Bombyx mori: one gene and its partner. The protein of the gene in region 2 interacts with the protein of the main gene of each other region in a pairwise test. Links are inferred from orthologs where the notes say so. Each region holds a gene or a part of one and is shown on either strand. Other genes may lie near its edges. The genes, in order: ras suppressor protein 1 and LIM and senescent cell antigen-like-containing domain protein 1.

Region 1 (4,442 bases), on a different chromosome or scaffold from region 2:
ATATCAAAAACATATTTTAACGTGTTTCCTGTTTGTGTATGGAAACGACCGGATTGGTTTACAACTATTAGCTAGATATATAAAGAATCCTAGATGAGTCGATTTGTAAACTAAAACAGCTTCTATTAATTCCTTCACTAAATATAGCACTCTTAAGAAAATTCTCTTGAAACATAACAATAAAAAACAAGATTTGGTCTTATATTAAAAATAGATATTTTTAAGACAATCTATTTTCATACAATGATATCCCCCAATTGTGTATTTTTCATTACCAACTTCTTCAATAACATTGTTTTTTCCATAATTAATCGCTGCTCGCCTCGAAGGGCTAATTCAGCTATGTACGTTTTGGCACATGAGCTCATCAGGCTCAACCGAACTTGTTAATACTTGTATCGAAATTGTGACTGTCTGTGAAGATCCGGCGAAAACTTAGCAGATTGTGTCTATAGGTTAAGTTACAAGTGGAACTTTTCAAGAAGTTTAACTAGAACTAAAACACTAATTGGATCGGAAGGATCTGACACGCTTAGGGCGACGAAAGCTGTGCATTGTGCCATCGTCTGTGTAGTATATATCAGCATGCTGCTTGGATGCAATTTCCGCTTATAGTTTAGATATTATAGGTAGCAGACTCAAATATCTCAGGTCTGTAAGAGGTTATTTAATGGAGTGGTCTATAAAGCTCACTAATCATGGGTAAATTAAAAGTTTGACTAATGATTAAAAGAATGCTTACAATTTGTAGATTCTTCAAATTTCCAATTTCAGGTGGTAGAAATTCAAAATCATTGTCACCCAAATACAAAGCACGGAGACTGTCTGTGAATAGTGAATTAAAAGTACTATTTAGTCAATCATCATGATTGGTGGTGAGATGTATGTAATTGTATAGTAAACTTTTGATGTATATCTATGGAATTGCAGGTATCAAATCACATTTGATACTAGGTGGAGCCAATTATCTACCATACAAATTTTGACCTACATCTACATCCATTATTGCTATCAACATCAAAAAAGATTCACACTATAGCCTTTGTACTTAGAGATAAAGTGTTCAATAGTTGTTCCAGAGACGAATATTCAACTGGGTGAGAAAACCAATAGAGTTAGTGATTTTAAATGATTTTAAATAACTTACCCATAATAAAGAAGTTCCCAGGTAATACTTTTTCATTCAAATTATTGTATGTTAGATCCAATATCTCTAGCACAGGGAAGGAACCAAAGCCTCTTGGCAAGTTATACAGTTTGTTTAATGAAACATTGAGGATCCTTAACTTGGGTAGTGATGATAAGCTGACTGGAAGCTCTTGAATGTTGTTATTGGCCAAGTTTAGAATTTCTAAGTTGCTCAAGTTGGCTAGTGCAGCAGGCACTACAGAGATTTTGTTGTGGCTTAGGGACAGACGAGTGATGTTCTCCAGAGAAACTGTAAAAGATAATAGATTTGGGTAGATTTTTATTTGAATTTAATATTTGCATACAAAGTCATCACAGAAATAGTTTTCTCATTGTATACTTTGGGCTACATAACTTTTTTCTTATCATACATTGATCTGTAAGCACAAGTTCGGACACACATGGAATACTGCTCACATCTCTGGTCAAACCATCTGTTTCTATACAAAAGAGGGCCATGTTGTTGATAATATTATTCACATAGACAATTTGTAGTCTTTGGGTTTACAGAAGGAATTCCCTCTAAAGTAAATTGTCTTAAACAAGTAAATTGTCTCTGTTTTTTGTACTGTATGCTCCTTGGAAAGTGCTCTAAGAATTTGTTCATTTACTTTTTACTATTGTATTGCCCACCACAAGAACACAATTCAAATATACTATGTGGTACCACTGCATTCATCCACAATGCATTACCAGACATATTTCCTGCTATTTTGTATCCAGCTTTAGAATAAATTATCCTCCACCATTTTTCCCTTCCTTCCTGTTCTACTTCAAATGAGGTTTGTGGAGTGCTCAATAGTATGGACCAGTATGGCTGTTGCCCTATAATTACTGAGCACATGCACAACAGTGACTAATTGCCTTTAGGTGGGCCCTATGCACAAATCTTCTAATATTAAATGGTTAATAAGCACATAAGACACTAAGATGTTTGTTTCCTTCAGATAAAGCACTGCAATGTTATTCTTTTATTTCTATTTCTTCATCAGTACATTCAATCACATAGTTTCTTGAAACCCATAACTGAGTAGACTGATGGTTCTAATGTAGTGTGGAACTTGCAAACATTTTTCAATATTTCATGGCTTATTTTAAGCGTAAGTTTGATCCTGTTCCGTCTTAAGGCGTAGGAGTTTCATTTTGAATTATAGGTCTGCAGTGATGTCATATTTTAATTAGTACTTCAATTTTTTACCTTATATTACATATTATTATGTTTAATATAATGTTAACATTGGAGAATTTACATCCAAATGAGGTTTAAATTAATATTTCATGTTTGTTGTCTTCAAAATATTTATTATAGATGAGTTGCAACGGTTATGTAGGCGAATACACTTATTGTAAGAATACTTCAGTTATTTATTAGTTTTTAAAATTAGCTAACTGTAGAATAAATTAAAATTCGAAAGTATACATTAAGCTTAGGTTTCGATCTAAGCTTTTTTATTGAAACATAGATGTAAAAATTGAAACGAACTAAAAATATTTAGTTAAAAAAAAAAGATACAAAACAGGTTTTATTTGACACTCACATAAGCCTGGAATCTCTTCGAGACTAGATATTCCTTTGTCGACTAAATCGATTTCCGGATTATTTATTTCTTTGGCTTCTTCAATAACTTTTTTAGCTTTCGACATCTTGCCTGTGTTTGGAATACAAGATACTGGGGGTTGATGACTCATTATCAAACAGATGGTTTTCCTACGCCCAAACAACAATCGCGTTTCAAACCTTAAAATTAACATTGTTAAGCATCAACCTTCAAATCCTGTTTTTTTTTTATTTACCATAATATTTTCTATTTGACCGGGTATTACTTGTCTAATATATTTATATATCGTAGTCTGTTAAATATCCCGATAGACTGTTAGAATATCACTACAAAAAGATGAAAAATATTGAAAAATCAATCACTACTTTCTTCTTTTAGGGCTTTCGCCTCTTTACGAAAGAAAGATTAAACATGATCAAGAATTTGAGACATTTCTTACTATATATATTTTAACATTTATGGTATTTTTATTTTTTACATTGTAATAATTTTCAAATTTGAAATGATTATTTCCCTCGTTTCTTCTCTTTCTCTTTCTATGTCTGTCTCTTTCTAACATATGTTAGAAGAATGAATAATTAACGCTCTGGAACATTAATTTATACCATTTTGCTTTGGTAAGTTGTTGCTTCTTGATCTTGACAAAAAAATGAAGAAAAGTCGTACATATACCTAGTTATTTTAGTAAATTTTCTAGTTATTTTTGGTATAATTGTTTGTCCCCTCTCCCATGGATATTACAAGGTTAATTGAGCCATTGAAGCCGACTTTAAGACAAAATGTTATCATTGCATTGGGCACTATCAGCTATTCCATGTTTTAAATAAGAATGCTCTGCTTCACCACAGAAATAGGCTCGATGGGTTTACATTTTATGTACATTTTACAAAACATTTTTAATAAATATCAATTTCATTTCATAATGGTAGAAGACATACAGAATTAAATTTAGCTAGACCTGAAAAAATTAAATCTACAACATTATTTATATAAATCAAACCCCTATTAAAGTTTACGGGGGAAATTTTGTCGAGAGTATACTAAGAGGCTATACGAATTGTATTATTTCGTTGGTTTTGAAGTTTCTTTACACTTCTTCTTCTTCTTGCTTCGGTTTCCTCAATACTGAGGGTCGTGACCACCTCCTCGCAACAAGAGCTTATTACGGACCATTCCATGCCATTATCTGCCGCCTTTACACTTAAACATTTTTGATAATTATGGTAACAATAACTATGCTCGAATTTACGAAATGCGAGAAATAAAATCGATGGTTCTCGAGTTCTCTTAAAAAATCTACTGAGTTTCCAAACTTTTTTAGAATTTATTGGGAGGTTATTTTAATTCATCAATTTGATATCTTTGTGATTAATTTTTCTTTCATTCAACAGATATGATTTCGGTCTTTTTTTTAAAGTTTAGTTGTATAGACTGCGTTCCTTTTGCCTTGTACAATATCCAAGAAAGAAAAAGAAATTGACGTTAGACGTACATACCTACTTACATAGCAGTGTCACCATAGTGTCACCCATAGATTACCGTAAAATGGGGCGATTAGGGACAAATTCCAACTTTATGAGCAATTTTAAGGTAGTTGTTGATGTATATAATGCTATATCAGGATCAAAATGATTGAGTCTTGGGGGCATCTTTGTTGTCTAATTTAAAATTATGTAACTAGCATTCCAGTTTAAG
Region 2 (3,255 bases):
AACTTATGCAATTATAATTTAATATTAAAACAAGACCACGCCATATTAAACATTAAAAAAAGCTATGCAATAGCTTAAAATAAAGAACCTCGTATTGTGGATAATCAGCGCTGTTCGATTTATCGACCTTGAACAGCCTTAGCTGAGCCACCTCCTTTTGTCTTTTTTTTAATTTTTATTTTTCTTGTATTTTATTCTATTTAATGTGAAAGACAATAAATGATTTTATTTTTATTATTACCCTTTTGTTTGCTGATGTTCATGAGCAACAACGACCACTTATAAAATGACAATATAGCCTATCTATGTGCTTAATGCGAGTGTTTTAACGTTCTCGATAGCGTAAAAGGTAACATAAATTTGCCGCTAGGGACAAACGTTCCAACTCCATACTAATTACATGCGAGAACGTTAAAAAAGTCGCACTAAACACGCTGTCTATAACAAAATAAATTACAAATTAGAATCTTAAAATCAAAACTTCCCAAAATTTTGATTTTGTATTTGGTAACTTGACGAAACCCTAATCCCGTGCATTGTACAATAATCAAAAGAATAACGTGTTAGTAAAAAACTTTATTTGGTGTTACATAAATATTTAGATCTAAATTAAATTATAAAATATCTGTATTATACATTAAAAGGGTTAAAAACAATATTACAAAGGGTGCGAAACAAGTTTTCTTTTTTCTTTTAAATCATAATTTTCGTCTAATGTAAGGCATGCTAAAAACGTGACATTAATATACAATGCAGTAGCATATTATAGTCAAAAGTAGCATTCTTCAAAATGGAATGAATATAATTTTTTGAAATATATTTATCATTTCAGAGGGTTTTTCAAATATCATTTATATCGGTCTGATTGTCACTGTCATTGTCCCTGGCTAAGATAATCTTATATAATTAATATTAAAAAATAATTAGATCCAAATTCGTCATTTTGACCACACATTTGCTGTAATATTCAGTTCAATTGGTTTATAAAAATCATCGAAAATTTATATTAATAATCTTCATATAGTGTACAATATCTACAGATTTGTTTCCGTTTTGGCTTATGAAGCCAAGCCTTTTGAGTTCATTAATATAAATAGTTAACTTAGAAATAGTTCTACGTTTATATTTTGTGCTTTTAAATTCAGGTTCACGTGACCAAACTGATATTTTGACTTAATTCAAAACATAGTTTACAAGCACATTCAACAGATACATTTTTATTGCCAATAGAGTTAAATTGACTTATAGCTCATCTGGTCGTAAATAGATAAGAGCGACTTCAAAATAATATTTTTAAAGGAGTCAAATCAATAAATAAATCCATTGCACTTGAACAAAATAGCGAACGCGTCAATGATCAGTGCGAGTAAAGACAACATTCATAATCATTATATTTTGTATGGTATAAAATAATTAATTATTACATTTTACACTTAATATATTACATTAATAAGTTTAGTTGTTACATAGTAGGTACTTCAAGGCACAAATGGCAAGTGCATACTACATTTATTATATTTTTAAATTTGTTAGTTAATTATGTTAAAAAAATGTGAACACCGACATTACTGTGGTATAGTGGTTTAGTATAGTATAGACCAGTGATGGGCAAAGTACGACCCGCGGAAGTATTTTAATCCGGCCCGCCGAGAGTCCGTCCGTCCCAAATATTCTAGTCGGCAGTTTGGCGCGTAAAATAAAATCTGACGTTTATAATTGAAAATCTTCGAATTTTTCAAAACTCCCCTCAAAACACCCCTGACGAATTGGAGCTTTCATTATCTCATTTATTGGAGAAAAAAAAACATTTTTCTATAATTCTGGCCCTCCTCTAGTATTTCCTAAACATTGTGGCCGCCATTAAAAATGTTTGCCCACCACTGGTATAGACAGATTAATGTCGTTTATTCCTTGTATTTTTCGTTAACGGCGGACCGTGTAGTGATGAGCCCGACGTAGCCGACGTCGTAGTTCAGCCGGGAACTTCTCGTAGCAGCGTCTACAGGCGGGCCTCTCGTCGTATTCGTAGAACTTGCTACGCGTGCTCAGCGGCGCATCGCAAACGGAACACGCAAAATGATGTACGCACCAAGCCTTGTTCAATGCGGTGAATACTACGAATAAAATTACAGTTATTAAGAAAAAAAATGGTAAATTAAATAGATATTTTTGATTCGACCAGTTTGTGTTATTGAAGTAGCAATCAGCAGTACAACACAATAAGTTACATATTATGTGTAACATGTTACTTGTGATATATAACCTATATTATATTCACATTAAAACCTTCATAATTATAATACATACTAGCACACAAATTTTTAAGAAGTTAAGAATATATTCATTCGATAATATAAAAAAATCAGCTAAATAAGCAAGATATAATTTCAAATCACACTGAATATAATTAGTTTTTAAGTGAATTGTGATATTATAAAAACGTTTATGATTATTAACCAATAACACAAATATTGTGTTCAGAACTTATTTTGTGCAACAGCTATGTGTAGAAATCTTTCCCGTTCTTTTACCACTTATGCTGGTAATCTCGTGAGGTTATGTCAACTTAACTGTGCGAATAGGTGCTCTAACCTGACGACGTTGCTTCGCAAAATCTACCACCGGATCGGAATCGCGACCCACTGAGAAGATCCGACGAGAAACTCAGTAGGCTTTTTCCAGTATTAGCCCGCACGATATTAAAGCATTATTAAACTTAGTTAAAAAACAAAGATTTTTATTAAATTTAACTATTGCGTGTACTCCACTTGGCCATTTTCGATTGTTTTCTTTATTAAAAATTATATTTATTAACACAACTTACTTATTACGCAGAACAGTGTACTTAAACGATAAACCAATACAATACAGACAATTATGAAACCTCATCATATCACATGCCGAAATCATTAAATTTTAAATGAAATAATCGAATAGTTACCGTCGCCGGCGATAACTTGATTACAGACGTAGCACAAATTGCCGAACAACTGGTGATAATGTTGTTCGCAGTAGGCCAAGCCTTTCTTTTCATAATGACGATGGCCGTGAAATGGTTTCTCGCATTTGGCACAAACGAAATGCTGAAAAATTAAATTTTCTTTAAATTATTATTTTTATTGCTTTCGACTCAAACGGAACAGGTAGCAAACGGGTGATGATAACCAGTGGTCGAAGTAGGTAGATTGATTTTTTATATACTTGCGTCAAAATATTATAATATACACTAATATGGAATAATGGATTAATATTTTT

What was found.
Region 1: the proteins of LIM and senescent cell antigen-like-containing domain protein 1 (region 2) and ras suppressor protein 1 interact in a two-hybrid assay, tested with the Caenorhabditis elegans proteins (2 studies listed by BioGRID). The link is inferred for Bombyx mori from reciprocal best matches to the Caenorhabditis elegans genes unc-97 and rsu-1.

The regions. Positions count from the first base shown.
Region 1 is NC_085115.1:769,645-774,086, forward strand, and holds the start of ras suppressor protein 1, read right to left. Parts: upstream 2,925-4,442; 5' UTR 2,878-2,924; coding exon 2,727-2,877; exon of another isoform or gene 2,439-2,726; intron 2,345-2,438; exon of another isoform or gene 2,033-2,344; coding exon of another isoform or gene 1,882-2,032; intron 1,439-1,881; coding exon 1,148-1,438; intron 826-1,147; coding exon 743-825; intron 1-742.
Region 2 is NC_085112.1:7,031,780-7,035,034, forward strand, and holds the end of LIM and senescent cell antigen-like-containing domain protein 1, read right to left. Parts: intron 3,084-3,255; coding exon 2,942-3,083; intron 2,115-2,941; coding exon 1,924-2,114; 3' UTR 562-1,923; downstream 1-561. UniProt on the Caenorhabditis elegans protein: Component of an integrin containing attachment complex, which is required for muscle development and maintenance. Probably function in adherens junction.